2 linked regions of the Alligator mississippiensis genome follow. The protein of the gene in region 2 purifies or fractionates together with the protein of the main gene of each other region. This does not show direct contact. Links are inferred from orthologs where the notes say so. Each region holds a gene or a part of one and is shown on either strand. Other genes may lie near its edges.

The links. The genes of interacting proteins can lie anywhere in the genome.
Region 1: the proteins of SLC30A2 (region 2) and METTL9 purify together in Homo sapiens (co-immunoprecipitation; 3 studies listed by BioGRID and IntAct, with this or other methods). This does not show direct contact. The link is inferred for Alligator mississippiensis from reciprocal best matches to the Homo sapiens genes SLC30A2 and METTL9.

The regions. Positions count from the first base shown.
Region 1 is NC_081836.1:46,715,153-46,724,522, forward strand, and holds the start of METTL9 (protein-L-histidine N-pros-methyltransferase), read left to right. Parts: upstream 1-5,521; 5' UTR 5,522-5,845; coding exon 5,846-6,019; intron 6,020-9,370. UniProt on the Homo sapiens protein: Protein-histidine N-methyltransferase that specifically catalyzes 1-methylhistidine (pros-methylhistidine) methylation of target proteins.
Region 2 is NC_081829.1:3,294,043-3,304,135, forward strand, and holds the start of SLC30A2 (proton-coupled zinc antiporter SLC30A2), read left to right. Parts: upstream 1-5,821; 5' UTR 5,822-5,961; coding exon 5,962-6,011; intron 6,012-6,489; coding exon 6,490-6,704; intron 6,705-7,261; coding exon 7,262-7,408; intron 7,409-9,009; coding exon 9,010-9,163; intron 9,164-9,711; coding exon 9,712-9,889; intron 9,890-10,093. Other genes in the region: E3 ubiquitin-protein ligase TRIM63, read left to right, coding at 727-895, 1,423-1,518, 2,002-2,235, 2,635-2,657, 3,107-3,231, 3,836-3,910, 5,015-5,025.

The DNA.
Region 1 (9,370 bases), on a different chromosome or scaffold from region 2:
ATGCCTTCAAGACATGCATGGATGTGTATCTTGCTGGGATCCTATGATCCCTGCTGACTTCCTGCCCTTTGGGCAGGGGGCTGGACTCGATGATCCTCTGGGGTCCCTTCCAGCCCAAATGTCTATGAAATCTATTCAATTAAAGGGGGGTGGGGGGATGACAGGGCTCCTTAGCTTTCTTTTTGTTCATCCTTTTTCTCTCTCCCATCAACAGAGCAGAAGCATCTATTGCTATGTAAAGCATTATTAAAAGAGACCTGGGGCAATTGATGAAGTTCAAGTGGCAGTCACTCATCACAAAAATTAGCAATAGGTGGACCAGACTTTTTGATAGAAATGGAGACTAAAACAGCATCTAAAACAGTTATATTTTTGGTATCTTTGCTGAACCTACAAGATCCCTTTAACTAATAGTATGACCATGCCAGGGGTGACACATAGTGGGTGCACACAAGTGCATGTGCACCCTGTGTGTGGTGGTGCACCCCCTACAGAAAGGCGTTGCCCACACTGTTGCTGTTGCCTGTAGACAGCAGCCGCTTGCCACCCCAACACCAGCCTGCAGTCCCCACTGGCTACCGCCACCGCTGCTGGCAGCAGCTGCAGGTGGTCACTGACCCTTGGTCAGTGCTTGCCCGCTGCCCCCCCACACTGGCAACAGCGCTGCCGCTGGCTGCGGGAGCTCCACCACTTATCCCCACTGCCACTGGGGGCACGAGTCATTCATGGACCATGCAAAAGTGTAATCTGTTTCAACTGCTGATTTGTCTATGTTAACACAGGCTGGAACCTGAGCCTGAAGTCACATGGCTGACAAAATGCCTCATATTAATCTTACTATTTTCAAAATATCTAAACTAGGCTCATCATATGTAAAATAGAGTATAGTATTGGGAAACATTACAATAGTTTAACAATATTATAAGCCTAAATCCTATTACATACGTTTCCTTAAGACTTCTCTCTATAGATTCTCAGAATATATTAATGTATCAAATTAATTTTACTTACTTTAAAATTAATATGCAAAAGTCCATGCTAGATGTAACTGGATGATAGGTACTAGGTCTTAAAGAATCTTTTTTTAACCTAATAAAGCCATGATGAGATACAGGACAGGTCAATGGTATAGTCAAAGCAGACTGAACAAATGGCAACAAAAACTCTCATTATTAAAACACAACAAATACAGACTCTGTTAAATAAATGGAATTCCTCCTTTTTTGGCAAAGTATCTAAACCTTTGGATGATTTTTGGATCTCTTGTGGGACCACAATTAATAGGTAAGTCTGTAATGATTTTTTCCAACAAAAAGCAAATGGGGAAGGAGAAAAATGCTGGCCAGCAAAATGAAGAGAAAGTAAGAAAAGATATTTGTACCAGAATATCTACAGATCATCACTCTAAAGCTAATTGCTTTTAAATGTGTGTGTGTACTGTGTATTTTTTTAAGATACAGTATTCTTAGATTGTATAGCAATTCGATACAGGACATAGTTCCATCAGAGTTTGGCAAAAAGTTTGGGAATGCATCATAATTATTACTTGCCATTCACCTGATCAGTACATATTTTACAGTCTTGGAAGAGGAAAATATGCTTTGCATACAAATACTTGCAACAGAATATTAATCACATAAACGATTAGTAGCTATATAGCACTTGATAGAAACTCTGAAATATCTCATTAGAAATGTACCCAAAACCTAAAGGTAGTAACTTTTTTTTGTTTAATTAATAGGCAGATCATGATCTAGTTTAGATATGATAAAAAATTAGCTGATATCTCTTTCATTGTGAAACTGTAAAGCTATGTGCAACTAATCTAAAGCTATGTGCAACTAACCATTTAATTAGCAGTTTATATATTGGAAGCAGGCATTTGTTTAAAAAGCAGAAAACTTAGCTTTGTCATCTGGCATTTGGACTGCAATGTTATTTCATTCCTTGAGAAAATAGGCTGATCTATACTTGTAAACAGCAATGTACACAGAGAAGGGCTTCCTAATTCAAACCAGACAGAAACAGAGTAAAAAGGCATCTTAGCCCTTCTACCTAAGGGAGAAAATTCTTCCTCTGGAAAAAACTGCCCCTGGCAAATGTCTAAAGTTGTTCTGTCAAAAACTGTCCTTAAGAAAGCTAAACATAAATGATAGTGAACTTAACAGAAAGATCCTTTAGCAATATTCTTGTTGTTGCTCTAGTTTTGTCAGCATTTCACAACCTAAGAAGGGTTAGACTCGATTGGTACTTGGAGAAAAGACCCTCAAGGAGGATCCCAGAATGCCACATGAAGTGGTGCATTAACTTTGATGAGTGTCATTCTTAGTATGGCGTTAGGAGGTGCTGGAAGCCTGGCTTTCAAATGTGATTTAAAGAAAGGTGCCAACTGCTTGTGGTCATTGACGAGCACTTTCTTGGAGAACTGAAGTTGTTATCCCTGATGCCACAATCAAATTCTAGTTGGAACAACTGCACAGGCTCTACCTAAATGGTCTTGCTGTTTCAAGTGATTTCATATTATTCTTCATTTTCAGGCCTACACCGTCACCAGTAATATTTGTATACAGCATCATAGTTCTGCCTAATTGTACCAAATACATAAAACAGTCCCGTCCTAAAACATTTACAGCCTGGATCTGACCCCGCAAAAACTCCAGCAAGCTTGCTCAGACCCTACACTGTGCTAGACTGGAATATTCTAACAAGCAATATTTGATCTAGGACAATATTGGTAGGTTAAGGTAGTCTTCTGTTTGCCTTCTGTTGCCTCCTAGATGATTGAAGGTTTGTGTTTGCTTATTGATCAAAAGAATTAAAAGGGTTGTAAGGTTTCCTGGCAGTCTTCCATCATTCTAGCATGCAGGGGATACCAATGGAAAACTGACAGCTATAGGAACCAGAAAATATCTGTAACAAAGCACAAATGTTAGAAAACAAGGAAGTGCCCAGTTAACACAATGCCTTCTGTCCCATACCTTTAGGTTGGGGGTGTCAAACTCATCTGGCCCCGTGGACAAACCTCCGTCCAAACATCCAGCACATGTGGCACTCATTCTGCCCAGTCTTGCGACTGCACCACATAGCATATGGTCAGGGCCATTCCAAGACGTGTGCACTGCATGTCTGAGATATGCTCCATGTGGTGTCCACCGCAGAGCAGTCAACAGGGGAAGGGTAAGAAGTGTGCAGCGTGCATCCTGGATGGTCCCAAGCTCTGTGCATGCAGCATGTGGGCCAACTCCAGATCCAGGGACAGTACTGGGGGCCACATGATGAGGCTCTCCAGCCCAGATCTTTAACATCCCTACTTTTGGTTATATGTAGCTTAAAAGAATTTAAAGCACGACCATCCTTTCCTGTGGGGTTATGGACAATTTAATGTGAATTTCCTTGTCAAATGAGCTGCCTTGTATGCATTAACACTTTTCTCTGATTTTCTGGTCAAGTTCTCAATACACCCAAACGAACTGCTACTGAAGGACAGAGCATCAATAACCTTTTGGGTATAAGATTATCCAAAATTTATTTAGATATTGTTTAATCCTAGAAATGCTAGCTTCTGGCTGTAGGTCTGTTAATAACTGTAGTTTTTTTATTCTTAAAACACTGCTAATGCCAGATAACCTTCCTTCCTCTTGGTCTGAAGAAGCCTTAGATGCTCTAACATCCACATGCTTTTGAATGTTAGAAACACGAAACCTGCACTGAGTGTAATACACCTCACTCCCCCTCACATCAAAGTCTGTTGGTAAAGTTCCATCTGCTGAAGTATCACTACATTACTGATTTCCTGCTGAAGGCAAATTGCCTGCTTGAGTCTTCCCTGCTATCCTGAGGTAGGGTAGTGTAAAGGAGGAAAGTTTTTAAGGTAGCAAACCATAGCTGTAGACACATCCCTCATTGCTACTACGCATGGGTACACACAAATGCAAGAACCATCTGACAAGGCAGCCTTTTTGCCCCCTGATATAGAGAGAAGCCTCTGTGTAGGTTGGGCATTCCCTAACCTTGGACTGATTTCCTGTCTTGAGGACCTACTGGACGCATCTACATGAAACGCTATCTGCACAGTAGCCTAATAAAACAGCACCATAGTGCATCACAGCATGGACAGTGCTAATACACTACTGCACAGTATTAGGCTACTGCCCAGTAGTATCACCAAAAAGGTGTTCACCAGCACTACTGCACAGTAACTCTGGTTACTATGCATTTATTTAGTGCTTGGTTGTACAAATACTATGTTAAGTGCACAGTGACCACTGTGCATTAATGAACATGTACACTGTGTCCACTGTCCACCCATTTGAACAAGGGACTGCATGTGAGTGCTCTGTCAACACCCCCCTAGCAAGGCTATGATGGGATGGTGGCAGTAAAGTGAAAGGTTCTTTGTGGAAGCAAAATACCTGCTTCCTTCTGAAGCCGGGAAGAAACTGTTGACGATTTGGTCCTGAAATTCTGGACCTTGAACAGAGCAACACAACATGGTAAAGTGCAGTAAGGCCTTGCCTCCAATGATGTTAATCTATTTTGATCCACTGACTCCTGTTCTTGGGCAAGTCTTGAGTGACACCTTAGTATCATTAAAACAAAGAAGCTTTAGCAAAAAGCAAATACAGCAGCCTGTCTGCTGTGCTGTCCAGTGAGGATGCTGGGCCTTATAGCACAAAGCTAAAGATTCTCTGATCAGGGATCAATATGCCAAATATCTGGGGTCATGACTCTCAAGATGGGAATCCTGGTGAATTGAAAATGTGCTCATCTCCCAAGTGAGAGGGTGCTGGGGGTTTAGCCCCAAAGAACATCACTTCGTGTTACTAGGGTGTGGGTTGTAGCCCTGTTCTCTTACTCTTCCACCCAGGAAGAACACACCAACCGCAGACCCGTCGTCAGCCTGACAAGGGGTATTTATACCCGAAAGCTTGCCAAGAAGAATTTTTCCAACAATTTGAATTGGTCTAATAAAAGATATCTGATTTACCCCAAAACTCTGGCCTGCCTTTGTGTTGTTTTTCTCCCATCTAAGGCTGCATCATCATGCAGTGAAAGGGAGTTTAAAGGGAAATTTGAGTGGTTGTTTTCCACAGACGCATCTTGGGACCTGGCCCCACTGGGACGTTCCCGGCCCGAGCCAAGGGCACCCCAGGGACGAAGGCTGCCTGGGTGAATCACAGAGGATGTCTAAAGAAGTTTCTCCCCGTTTCCACTCCGCACCCAACGACTTGCTGTTTTGGGGAGGGGGTATCGTTGCCTCCCCCAGGCTCGAGCTCCCTCGTCCCGAGCTCTCAAGAAGCTGCCTGGGGAAAGCCCGGGGGTCCCCGCTCTGCCTGGGGGCAAGGGCTGCTTCCCCGGGCGAAGCGCGGGAGATGGGACCCCGGCGCCTAGCAGGGCACGTGCTGCCCGGGAGAGGCGGGCCGCGACGGGCGCGTGACGCGCGGGGGCGGAGCCGGGCAGGCTCCACCCGCGCGGGGGCTCCCGGGCCGCCTCCCGCGCTCCGGCAGCGAAGGGGTGGGCGCCGCCATTGTCCGCCCGGCCCGTTTTGAAAGCGGCGCCCCGCGGCGCGGGCCTAGCGCGCAGGGCCCCGGGGCGCTCTGTGATTGGCGGGCGAGAGGGAGGGAGCCGGCGCGTGCCAGGCCCCGGCGTGTCCCCGCAATCCGCTCCGGCCGGCCCCGCGGCCCGGCCCTCCCGGGTTCCGGCCTGTGCGTGCGCAGGGCCCCGGCGGGGAGCGCGGAGCTGGGAGCGGGGCCGGCCGAGCCGAGCCGAGCCGCCGCCGCTGCTGCTGCCATGGCGAGGGGAGGCGGGGGCTGCGGGAGGGCATGACTCCGCGGCCCGCCCCCCGATGAGGCGGTGGCTGGTCTGGCTGGGCTGCTACGCCGTGTTCCTGTGGGCGCTGCGGAGGAGGATGCGGGCTGGCCCCGCCAGGTCCCTCAGGAGCGCGCTGTCCAGGTCCCTGCACGCCACGATGATGGGCAGCCACAGCCCGCCGGCCCCGGGCACCGCGGAGACGCACCAGGTACGGCCCGGGAGCGCCCGGCCCCGCCTCGCCTCGCCTCGCCTCGCCTCGGGGGAGCGGCCGGCACGGGCCGGGCCGGGCCGGGCCGGGGGAGCCCGGGCCGCCGGCGGCGCTGGCGGAACAAAGGGAGGACGGTCCGGTTCCGCCCGCCCGGGCCGGCGGGCTGCGCGCTGTGCGGGGGCGCTCGGCCGGGGCTTTGTTGCGGGCCGGCTTCGCCCGCGGCCCGGGGGGAGCGCGGGGGGGCTGAGGCCGGGGCCGGCGGCTGACAGGCCGGGGGCGGGGGCGGGCTCCGGGGCTGCCACGCGGCTGAGGGCAGCGGGTCCCCTCGGGGGGCTGCGGGGCAGGAGGAGGGGGGTGCAGCCCCCGCCTGGGACGACCGGCCCCCTGCCAGGGCCCGTCGGCTGTCATCCCCGCCCTGGTGCTCGCCATCCGGTGCCGCCCAGCTCGCAAAGTTATGGAGGGGCCTCAGGGCGGGGAAGGCTGGACCCGCCAAGGTAGAGCACCCAGTGACGCGGGACGGGCCCTGCGCCCGAGTACGGAGGGACCTATCTGCAGGCGAGGGGTCGCGCAGGTTGGGGCGCCTACTTAGGCACCTGCCTCAGCCGGCAAGGGAGGAGTTGGGGAGGTGCCCTTTCTAGGTGCCCTCCAGGCCAGGGTGGTTAGATCCAGCGTATGCTCAGGCCTGGGCTCTGTGTTACCAAACCTGTGGCAGGAGTTCAGGAAGAAGAAAAATACTAATGGATTTTTTTAAAATTTTTTTTATGGAGCTTTTGATGACTTGAGAAAAATTATGTGAAATACACAACGTGGTTAGTGAGGTAGAAGTGGCTTATGAATATCTGAGGGATACAAAGGAAGGGGAGTAATGACCCTGCACACTTGGCTACCCAGCAGGCGATTCTGCTCACATGTTGCTGCTTGGACTTGGTTGGGGCTCTGCTGGAGCGCAGTGGTCTGGCGCGTACGCCAGGAGACAGGGAGGCAAATTTTAGGCTGACTATTGAGGGAAACTTCCTGACCTTAGAACAAAGGAAACCTTGGAGATGTGTAGTCTGGGATGTTTAAAACACTACACTGCATCAAGAAACTAAACTACATCAAGAAAGTGTACCGTTGGAGGTGATTGTTCCATTACAGGCAGAGAGACTGGGGGGTGGGGATCAGAAATTACAGATGAAAGAGATCTGGCTCTGGAGCTTCTAGCAATGGTTTATCTAGTGTTTAGAGAGCCTCTTAACAAACTGTGATTAATGACTTCCATGGGATTACTCTCATGAATTAAGACTACATGATAAGACCCAAATATCTGGTTTTTATCAGTTGTGCTGTTTTACTTTTTTGTTCTTACGTCCAGAATAAAAAAGTGAATTGTGCGCTAACATTTGACAACTAACTTTTTAGCAATAATAGTAGTAGAGAGATTTGACTATTTCTTTCCAGTAATGATATTCACTGGTTTCATTACAATACTGTTACAAACCCCTATTTTTGTTGTTTGTAAATTACTTACAAAAATTTGAAAAGAATTAAAAAAAACTTGTTAACTGATAGTTGGGTTCATAGTCTCTGAAGCTGTCCAGTTGTCAGCTCCTTTGTGGTGTGGAGTGGAGACTTAAGGATTCTATTGAAGCACATAGCACATGGTCTTCTTACCTCTTTAAATAATATTAAAAGGTTTTAAACTTATAGAAAGGACCTAGCAAAGTTAAATGTTCTGCTTTATGTCTGCAGTGTGTCGGATCGTTCTGTGTCCTAATATGAGACCCTAGTGTACCTAACTGTTCTTCTAGTATTTAAGAAAAGAGGAAAGTAGTAAAAGCACATGCCCGTGAAGAAATAGTTAGAGATGGACATTGCCTTCCTACTCTTGCTGCTTAAGGAGAGAATATTGAGTTTGGACTTGTTTATCCCAGACTTCATTCTTTCAATTTTTCCATTACTGCTGATGTGTGGTAGTGCTTTGGTGCTACTGAGGTTTTAACCTTTGTGTTGTCTAACCCTGTCCATGGTAAATTTAGGTGATGAATGTTTAAAAAAGGTGTTGGTTACTAGCGGCTTGTCTGTGCACTTTTCACTGTTGATTCCACCTGTGATGGAAGAAATTTTAAGGAGAAAAAGTCCAACATGGACAAGGAGTTAGAGCATTAAACCATGTTATATACAAACCTGTTCGAAAGCTTTGTTTGAGCTGTGAGTCTCTTTGAGAAGCTTGTGAACCATTTTGAAAATGGATTTAACTCCTGTAACATTTGCTTCTGTATGAAAAGGTCTTAAAATGTGTCATTGCTGTAAGTAGTTGATGGAGATTACTTGAAAAGCTGGAATATTTGCTGCAGCTGTCTGCTCCCCTCTGCTCGCTGGCACTGTTACTGCAAACCAGCAGGATGTTGAAATAAGAATCCTGTACCATTTTAATTTGTTTTGTTTTATAGTAGTACCTAGACATCCCATTGTACTAAACCTTGTGTAATAGAATTAATATGCCCATGATCATAGAGTTGTTTTGCCCCTCAGAATGGTTTGTGGTTTCTCAGTGTTCTCTGTATTGGGTGTGCTCAATTTACAAATAAAAAGATGTGTTTCTAATTACCAGTCCTGCAGACAAGTCAAGCTGGGTTCTTTCCTGCTTATGCATTAGCAACAGTAATAAATGTTTCTGGGTGCCAAGTTATCCTCTTAAACCTCTTTATCTGTGCAGTTCTCAAATTAGGCCCTTGCTGACCTCCGTGTTTTATCATTTCCTTCAGGGGACAGCACTGATGTGATTGACTGGAACTCAGTAAGCAACTCTCTTGGATGATGCATAAGAAGACATAGTATTCACACCTTAGTTTAGTTATTAAAGGAAGAAGTAATTATGTGAATGCACAAAAATTTGAGTAAGAGGGCCCACTTTCAGTCGCTTTCAAAAGAAGTAGACTAGCCTAAAAACAGGATGGATTAATTTCAAGCCATCAGATAGGCCCTGGCCCACTACCTGTTGGTGAGTTTCCTCTCCATTTTATGCCAATTCATACATGGTTGCAAGGCATCTTTCCCCATGGTATTTCCACCAATCTCCACTACCAAAGAACTTGGTAAAGAATATTGTGCCTATGAGTCCATGCTCTGAGGGGTTCACAAATAGAATCTCCAGTGGTGTAATTTACTTGCATGTCTTATGCCATTTTTATGTTCTCTGACTTGCATATATCCTAGTCCTGAGAGCAGACTTATACTAGTGGACCCTTGAGCTTCTCCAGTGAGCCCCACTGACTTCACTGGGATTCTCCGTGGACATAAGTGTCTGCTGTGCTGATGTGGATTTTATTTCAGGATCGGAACTTCACATTTGTATGTATTTACAATGGT
Region 2 (10,093 bases):
AGGGCGGGAGGTGTGATGCTTTGAGTGCAGAGGGGTGGCCAGGGTTGACTTGATTTAACTCCCCTTCTCTCAGCTGCAGTCATGTTACCTATAAAAGGGGAAGCCGACCAAAGGGGCCAGGGCTCAACTGCCTGTGTTTAAATATACCCTGGGCTCCTGCAGAAGGAAATAAAGATCTAGCGGCACCAGGAGTTGGCCTTAAAGAGGCGCGAGGAGCCTCTAACTTGATGGCACCCTGTGTCTATAATTAGGAGATTCTGCATCCTCCGTGAATCTGGGCCCAAGGCACCAGGGACTTAATCATCCTAGTGGATCTAGTCACCTCTATGGCTTGCTCTGCGCTGGCTGGGGGTAGGGCAGAGTGATGCCTGCCGGGAGGTGGTAATCTCAGAGACACGAGTTTGAACGCTCTGAGAACTGGCTCTGAGTGGTGGCGAGAAGGACTGATGGCAGGTGGCACCACTGGACAGGGCTGTCTAGTCCTGACCCTTCCCTTCATTAGCACCAAGGGCAGACAGAACCGGCCTCCCGGGTGCTGGACACAGCATCACAGCAATGAAAATGAGACCCAGATCTAGCCCCGTCCCTCCGAGCCGGGGCTGGAGAGGCTGGGGCTGGGGGAGGTTCAACCGCACTAAGACCCTGGTCCAGGCTTTGGGCTCATGCCACAGCTCAGTCCTAGGCCCGGGTGCCAGCGCTGCTAATGCCTGCCTCCTTTCCCTGCAGCAGGCCCCTGAAGAAGGGCAAACACCCCATGTGCAAGGAGCACGAGGACGAGAAGATCAACATCTACTGCCTGACCTGCGAGGTGCCCACCTGCTCCATGTGCAAGGTCTTTGGGGCTCACAAGGACTGCGAAGTCGCCCCCCTCCAGAACGTCTTCCAGGGGCAGAAGGTACCAGCGACCCTGGGGGCAGGGGAGCAGCCAGAGGCCAAGGGATGCCCTGCCGTGTCCCTAGAGGGGTTCCCATCCGGTCCCCTGGAACGTTGATTGGCCTCCAGGGATGGGGGGAGGCTCTGCTGGAGACACCCGAGAGGTGCTGAGCCGTGCCTTTCGGGAATAGCTTCGGAGCCCCGTCACCGGGGTATTCATAGCCGGGTGTGGAGAAGTCACCTTCTATATTTAGAGCCCCTCACGAGGCCAGCACTGGCTCCAGGGGCAGCGGGTTCTAGGCACCTGGGAAGGAAGGAATTGCTTGAACAGGGTCCACATATGGCAGGATCTCTCCCGGCACGCACCATGGCACCCCTTGCTCTGTGCACTGGGTTCGGGGGGAGTCTGAGAGCCCTGAGCAGAGACAAACCTGATTGATCCTGGTGTCCACACCCGGAGGGACCAGGCTACCCCCCACCATCCTCCTGCCCCCCCCAAGAGACCAGCAGGAGGGCTGAAGCCACCTCTATTTCTGTCCTCCCTCGCAGACCGAGCTGAGCAACTGCATCTCCATGCTGGTGGCGGGGAATGACAGGGTGCAGACAATCATCAACCAGCTGGAGGAGTCCTGCCGCGCCACCGAGGTGAGGCACGGGGAAAATGAGTGAGCCTGCGGAAACCCGAGTGGCCCCAGAGAAACCCGACCCTGAGCCACAGCCTCAGAGGGCTAGCGTGGGCGTTGGGTGCTCGGCCCTGTCCCCGAGATAAAAGCACACATGGACGGTCCCTCAAGGCCACAAGGAGGGAGAGAGCTCCCAGAAGTCCTGGCTTCCAGCTCCTTCTTTTAAGTCTCAGATTCAGAGTCTCTTACTAGTCAAACCAGGGATTGCTTTCCCCTTCCCTGGTGGCTTGCACCAGTATGTTTGTCCCCCCCCAATGTTGCCTCCCTTGGGGATCCTCTGGGGCCGAGAGCTGAGCTCGGGGCACGTATCAGCAGGCGCGAAGGAGTGTATGAGGCTGGCCCCTGCCCCGGGCAGCAGCGAGGTGCCCTGCTCCGTGGTGGGGTCTGGGAGCTGTGCCCACCCCTTCCCTGCCAGCCGGGCACTCATGCTGTGCTTCCTCGGCAGGAGAACAGCCAGCGGGTGCGGCAGGAGCTGTGTGAGAAGTTTGACACCCTGGCCGCCGTCCTGGAGGAGAAGAAGAACGAGCTGCTGCAGCGCATCACCGCGGTGCTAGAGCACAAGACCGGCTTCCTCCAGGCCCTGGTGCAGAAGTACAAGGAGCAGCTGGAGAAGTCCAGCAAGCTGGTGGAGACGGCCTTCCAGTCCATGGAGGAGACCGGAGGTGCCACCTTCCTCATGGTGAGCGGCGTCTGCCACCGGGCGTAGGACATGGGGAGGAGGGGATGGGCGCTGACGGGAGCCTGGGTCTAATCATGCTGCCTGCCCCCATCCAGAGAGATTCCCCCACCTGCCAGATTGTGTCTCCTTTCAACCCAAGCCAGCAGCCACTGGCTGTGCCCTTTGCTACCCCAGCCAGCTGCCAAGCTCCAGCCTAGCAAAAGGGAGCTCCCCAGAGCAGCTGGGCAACATGCTCTGGCTCCAGGCAGCTGCTTCTCAAGGCTCCCCCACATCCCCAACCCTTCCCACGACTGATATCCAGTGGGTGTCAGCTCCACCCTGCTGCTTTGGCAGCCTTCAAGGCCAGTTCTGCTAACCCTTTCTCTCTCTCTCTCTCTCTCTCTCTCTCTCCCCCCACAGAACGCCCAGAAGCTCATTAAAACGTAAGTCCCCAGGATGCATTAGTGAGCCACTACCTCGGTGCCACGCTCATTGTCCCAGCAAAGTCAACGTCCCCCGAGGGAGCTTCAGTTCCCGGGGGGAGCCCTTACTCAGGGTGCAGCTTAAACGCCAAACTCCTTGCAAACCAATTCAAGAGCACACACAGCGCTGCTGCATGGTGTCTCCGTTGTGATACCCCAGCCAGCATGAAAGTGGGACAGGGCGGGACGCTTGAGGGCTATGGGGCTGCTCTGCTAAGTCCTTCTGACTCCCTGGTCCATGTCAGCTCCCCTGTGCATGTGAGAGGGGCTCATGAGCTCAGTTTAAATTGGTTTGTAAATGGCTTTAGTCTAACCAGTGGCCAGGGCTCTGTGGGCAGTGGTTTCAGTCCAGCTGAAATGGGCTCCTAAGTGAGTTAAAACTGAAAGGAGCTTTTTCCTGCCTCCTCCAGAATCGTGGAGGCATCGAAGGGTGGTCTGCTGGAGAAGATCGAGGAAGGCTTTGAGAACATGGACTCCTTCAGCCTGGACCTGGAGTCCATCATGGAAACCCTGAGGGCTATTGACTTTGAAGCAGGTATTGTCCTTCTCTGGCCCCTTCCACTCATGCGTTGCCTGAAAGCACTTTTCTTGTGCTGTCCACCCAAGCGTGCTTTGCAGGCACTGATCGAGCTCAAGGGTTAGAGGAACAGCCAGGTAGCTAGGAGGACGGCCTCTGAATCAGAGCTTCCTAGACCCTAAATGCTGGAGGCTGCACGTAGGAGAGGAACGGTGGGAAAAATCCTGGGTCAGACCCTGTTCGCTCTCCCCTTCAGCATCAGCTCTCTGCTGCTGTGTGACAGAGGAGACTGGGCAGGATGGACCTACGGTCTGACCCAGTCAATGGCAGTTCTTCCGTTCTGATTTTCTTCACAACCCCCACGGGAAAGGGGCACCAGACCCACTTTACAGAAGGGAAAACCGAGGCCTAGAAACTCCAAACCAACTCACCCAAAGCTAGGCAATAATTTATTAGACAAACCAAGTACAGAATCCAGGGCATGTCTCTTCACAGTCTAAGAGACATCCTTCTTTCCCTAACCCCAAAGAAAATGCCGACACGGAGGTGTGAGGGTGTCTTCTCTTGTATAAGCGCCGGGGCGGGACTGAGGGGTTCTAAATCACACCCTTTGTGTTTGAAGAGGAGGAAGAGGAGGAATTTAATGAGGAGAGAGAAGAATCAGAAGAGGAGCTGTCTCAAGAACAGAAAGTCGATGGTAAGTCGAGAGCGGAGCGCGGCAGGCTGGCGAGTGGTACAAACCCAGGGACTCGCAGCCCTCCTGGGTCAGGCCCTGCAGACAGAGGCGCCCGGTCTGTTCCTGCTGCAGCATCTCGTACCCCTCACTAAAATAGCAATGAGCTCCTTTGTGCGCTGCGGGGTACAGCTTCCACTCTGCTGAGACCCAACGGCGCGCTCTTGTTGCAAAAAAAGCAGCAGCCTCCTAGGCTGTACGAACAGGAGCATCGCTTGTAAATCAAGGGCCGCGATTCTGCCGCTCTGTTCAGCATGGGTGAGGCCTCCCCTGGACCCCCGTGTCCAGTTCTGGGCCCCGTACGTCAGGAGGGATGTGGTCAGTTTGGGAAGAGTCCACTGCACTGCAATAAAAGTGATCAGGGGCCTGGGAGGCAAGACTGATGATGACAGGCTGCAAGAGCAAGGGCTGTTTAGTCTGGAGAAGAGAAGATTGAGGGGGCATTTAATCACTGTCTTCACCTCCCCGGAGGGTGATGACAGAGAGGATGGAGATGGGCGTTAGGGGGACCACAGGCAACAGGACTAGGAGCCATGGCTTCATGCCGCAGCAGGGGAGATTCAGATTGGAAATGAGGAGGAACTTGGTGACTTGAAGGGTGGTCGAGCATCGGGAGGAGCTGTGGGTCCAGCTATCACAGCATCCTGCCTCTGACAGTGGGATGCTTTAGGGAGAGCATTGAGCTGGGTAGATCTGGTGACCCATCCCCTAGTCGTTACCCTCCCCTAACGGTTTAGAGGTGCCAGAGCAAACGTCTCCACTTGTTCTGTTCAGCAGCTATTAACAGGACAGTGCAGGAAACTCCCTCTGAGGCATACGCTGCCTGACTTTCTGGAACCCTTGCAGGGAGGAACAGCAGGTGCTACAAAGCAGGGGTCGGACAGGGTGTAAGGATGAGGCTTTTCTCACTGCAGACCTCTCAGGGGTGGAAGGGACTCCCCAGAGGCAGTGGTCAAAGTCCCATTGGGTTTAAGTGATGCCTGGGGGAAATTTCCCATCTCCCCTTCACTCCTCAATCTCCTCCTGCCATCAGCCCCCCTCACCTCGTCTCCACCCCTCCTCTTCCAGCACCTCAATAACGGAGCAGGAGGAAATCCAGAGCCGAAGAAACTCCCGTGCAGGGAGCGGATGGATTAGCAGTCGGGGGACGGGGTGGGGGAACACTCTGACTTTGTGCCAAGCTGCAGGAGGCGGCGTCCGGCGTCCTGGATCCCGGGGAAGAGTCGGGCTTGGCCAAGCAGGATGAAAACTTGAGCAACGGACACTTTTCTATACGGGTGCAAACAGGAATATTCCGTACATTTTATACGGCCTCTTTTTGTATATAATTGTGACAGGACTTGAACCTTGTTGTCTTTTGTAAAAGCAGCTCTGTTGCTCCTTCCTTGTGCCCTGCCCGCTCGCAGGGGCGGGCGATGCTGGTTCTGGGAATGACGGAGTTTCTTTGCAACTGGGGGCGGGCGGGGGGTCCAGGTAGGACAGCACCACACCTCAGCGCGCAGAAGGAGCTGGAGCAGCTAGAAAGGCTTTTCTTGTGTTGTGTTTGTTGGGGGTCCAGCTGAGCGCCCTCCCACGACCAGGCTCTGCGAGGCGCGGGCTCCCACGGGATTTATTGTTCACCTTGCACATTGTTACAATAAAGGACCTCGGGTCTTATCTGTGCCTGGCAGCCTGGGTTTCTCGCCGGCCTTGGCGCTCGGGGCCGGGCTTTCGGAGGGGCCGAGCCCAGGTGATTTGGGAGCAGCAAACCCCCTCCTTCAAGCACTTCTAGTCTCCTCCCGGAGCTCGGCACCACGGCGCTGGGCCCCGGGAAGCGCGAGCAGCCCCGGGCGGGGGCTCCCGCAGCCGAGGGCGTGCCCCGCGGGGCCGTGCGCACCGGGCGGCGGGAGCCCGGCCGCGCTCCAGGTGCTCGGCGCTGCACGTGTTGCAGCCGGCGCTGCCGGCCGCCCTCCGCCCCGCTGCACACGGGCCCGCTCCGCTCCGCTCCGGAGGAGGCAGCCGGGGCCGGCGGCGGCATGGAGCGCGGCGAGGAGCGGCGGCACCTGCTGCACGAGCCCGCGGCCGGGTGAGGACGGGGCTCCGGCCCCTCCCTGCTGCCCCCAGTGCCCGCAGCGCCCCCAGCCCCCTGCCACGGTGCCCCTAACCCCCCGGTGCCCCCAGTCCCATTTGCCCCACTCCTAGTGCCCCCAGCCCCTGGGTCTCTGCCCTGCTCACTGGGGCGGGGAAGGGGGTTCAGGGCTGCAGGGGAGGCGGTGGGAGCTCCTGGGGAGGCTGCCAAGACTCCCAGGAGTGATTCCCTGGGAGCCCGGCCTGGCCGGGGAGAAAGGGCTGGATGTCAGCGGGTGGGCGCTCGGGGTCTGAGCCTCCCAGCGGCCGCTCTCCTCTCTTCGGGCGCTGCTTTGGGGTGGGCTGGAGATGAACCCGTGGTCCTTCATTCGCGGGCCCCCATTTCGATTGCAAACCTCTGCCCGCCCCCCACGGTCTCCCCTCCCGAGCCGCCCGCCACCCCCAGGGCGGGCAGTAAGGGCAGCTCTGCGCTTCAGGCCCTGCCTCGGCGTGTCGGGGAAGGATTTCCACAGCTCCGTGCTCAGGTACATGCCGGACCTGGCCTCCATCGAGCTGGGGGTACAGGGCAGCCAGCACTGCCACTCGCAGCGGGTCACCGACGACCACGGCGGCTCCGATAAGGAGCGGGCGCGAAGGAAACTCTACCTGGCGTCGCTGATCTGCCTGGTCTTCATGACGGGGGAAGTTATAGGTGAGGTGCAAGCCGTCTCCACTTGATAAGAGCTGAAACATCCATGAAAAGGACTCGTTTTCCTCCCACTGCCCTGTGTTACGTGTGGCTGTTCTTCCCTGCCGCGTTCCACCCTAGAAGCAATTGCATTTGAGCACGGCAGTGTGACCACGGTAGTATACCTGCAGGTCTGGCTGAGGGCCCCATCCCCGCAAGGACCAGGCCAGCCTGGGGCAGCAGGCCAGTCTCTGCCTCTCTTCCTACCCACGAGACAGAGCTAGCGTAGGGGCAAGGCTGAGTGGTGCGGGACCCGCAGAGCTGAGGCTTCTCTGTGCTGTAGTAGAACAGGGGAGAGCACCTAAAATCACAGCCCTCCCCAGGCTCCCTTCCTGCATCGGGACAGACACAGCGAACATTTGGCTTCAGAGAAATCCCAGCAGCCCCAGCACATGGCCTGCAACTTTTTGGGGGGTTGCCCCCTGTACCTCTGAGCTTGCACCCTGGCACCTCCCTCGCCTGGGGCTGGGCATGCTGGGAGGATCCCCTGTGCAGCGTGCCCCACGTTCTCCACCCCGCAGGGGGATACCTGGCCCACAGCCTGGCCATCATGACGGACGCGGCCCACCTGCTGACGGACTTCGCCAGCATGATGATCAGCCTGTTTTCCCTGTGGATGGCCTCACGCCCGGCCACCAAAACCATGAACTTCGGCTGGCACCGAGCAGGTACTGTGGATGGGGGTGGTCTGTAGGGTGGCAAGCTGCCTACATGGGTAAGTCCTCGCTACCTCTCCGTCCACCACTGACCAGCTCTGGGGATCGTGGAGGCTCTCCTGCCTGGGGTGACCTCCCCATCTGTGCCTTGTTGGACCAGGAGTGGAAGGTGCATCCCCTCCCTTCTGACGCGGGGCTGGGAGACGGGACAAAGTGCCCCTGTCCAGCCTTACAGCCCGTAAAACACTCGTGGCTCTTGAGCAGTGAGGTGTGCTTGAAGCTGGGGCCAAGGTGTGGAGGGTCATGCCCTCCACAGCTGGACATGAGCAGATCCTGCTGAAATCAGCAGTGGCCTGTGCCTGGCCTCAGCCCCGCTATCTCAGCAGGGCAGGCCTTTGTTCTGGAAATCCTAGAGGCCCAGGTGTCTGTTATCACTTCCACGGCCCTTGGGCTTTCTAAATGCCCCCTCCAGGAGTTCCTGCCTGGGCTCTCCCCCTCCCTGCCCTGCTCTCCTTTCTGGTAACAAGTGTTTGTGCAAGCGCAGGGTCTGAGCCTGGTTTCTGCTGGCACAAACCGTGGGCTTTGCTACTCCACTGGCAGTTTAGGTTGGGATTAACTATTCAGCCCTGTACGGTGGCTGCAGCCCTGGCCTCTGGATCCAGAAGGCCAAATGTGAGCCCAGAAGCTGGGCTGTTCTCCCTGAAACCACTGAGGCTGGGTGTACGCTACACAGCCTTGCCAGTGTAGCTGTGCCAGGTAGGAGTTGGCAGGGGGGCAAAATCGCCCACCATGAAGAGCACCGGGACAGTACAGAGTCTAATGGAGATGCAGGGATACCAGTAAATAAATGCCTCTTTAGCCATCCCAGCTTTCTGCTGCTCTACGGAGTTGCTATAAGCCATGCAGCAAGAGTCCTCGGGCTGGCATAGCCCCTCCGCGGTGCTAGCAGGGGTGCCAGCAGCCCCTTTAAATGCGTGGACTGCAGATACTGAGATTCGTAGAGAGGTGGCTGGCTTGTTAAGAGGAAAGCATCGCTGCAGCTGCTGCAGAGCCAGTGCAGGTCTTGCGAGGGGGAAAGGACACCATGCTGCATCTCCCTCGGTCATTTGTGACTGCTGTGTGCAGCTGCCTTACGGCGTTGATGCTAAAGGGCCTAGACTGTCCTAACTGAGTGCCCTGCCTTCTGTGCTGCTGTGGTTCGTGCAGTGCCGGTGGGCTGGACTTGCAGCCTTTTAGCCCTGGGGTCTCAGAGCTGCTGTGATTTGCCTCCAGAAGGTGCAGGGGGAAGCAGTGGGGCTGGAAAAGCAGCTGGCCCTGGAGGAGCAAGTTTAAGCTTTGTGCACAGGGGCCTCTCCAAGTCCCCGTGCTTAGCTGTAGTTCCAGGGGCTGGTACGGACCATCAAGGAACTAGAAATGGCAAGCAGAGGCCTTCCCCCAATGCTGCCGGCTTCACAGTGCAGGCCGTAGAGGGGGTGCTGGAGCTGAATGGGGGGAGCTGCTTTGGGAGATGAAGGGAGGCTGCCGTGGCCACTCCAGGTCCAGGAGAGGCTGGGGGCGTGGGGAGAGCTCGGAGGTGAAGCATTCGCTCTAACCCTGGCCTTGCCCCCCCGCAGAGATCCTGGGGGCCCTGCTCTCGGTGCTGTCCATCTGGGTGGTGACGGGTGTCTTGGTCTACCTGGCTGTGGAGCGGCTGCTCTCCAACGAGTACGAGATCCGAGGGGAGGCCATGCTCATCACCTCAGCCTGCGCCGTGGCCGTGAATCTCATGTGCGTGGCTCTGGGGGTGGGCTTGGAGAGAATGGGCGGGAGTTGCTGGCTAATGGCAAAGGCTAACTCCCTCCTATGGGAATGCCCCGACTGGCTGGTAAGCCTTGGTCACCCCTAGGGATAATTAATCCAGGGACTGGGAGGTCTTCTAGGGCTGGAAGCTGGGGGATCCCTGTGGGTTTCCAGGATCAGGTCCTGGTCAGCCAGATGCCAGCAGGGATTTTGCTCATGAATGCAGAAGCTCTGGGCACCTCTCTAACCCACCTCCCCATGCCACAGCCTCTTGACATGTGCCCTGCAGAGGTGAGGATTGCCCCCTCCCCTCTCCTTGAACCCCAGCTGGATGAGAAGGGGCTTGGGGGTGAGACAGGCCCCTGCCTCTGGGGGTGCAGCTGCACTGATGGTGCATTTAGAGCAGGCCAGGCCAGACTAGGCCAGCCGTTGCTGCAGGCTGCAATGGCAAGCAGGGCCCGTTTCCATGAGCTTCAGGCAAGGGGAAAGGCAGAGGCAGCTCCCTCGATGCCCTGACACCTCCATCTCCTCCGTAGGATGGGTGTTTCCCTCCACCAGACCGGGCATGGCCACAGTCACCACGGCCATGAACACGGTCCCCACGGCCCTGATGCCCAGCCCAACCCCAGTGTCCGTGCCGCCTTCATCCACGTGGTCGGGGACCTGCTGCAGAGCATCGGTGTCCTGGTCGCTGCCTACGTCATCTACTTCAAGGTGCAATGCAGAGGTGTGGGGGGGAGCTGGGGGTCTCCTCTGGGCACAGCACAAAGCACCAGCCCCTTGTTGCACTGTGGTGGTCGCTGTCCTAGGAAGGGGGGGACCTGGTCTGAGTGCCAGGAGCTCTGTGCCTTCATCCCTGCCCTGCTACTGACTCTCCCTGCATCCATAGGCAAGTCATTTAACTGCCCCACTGGTGCC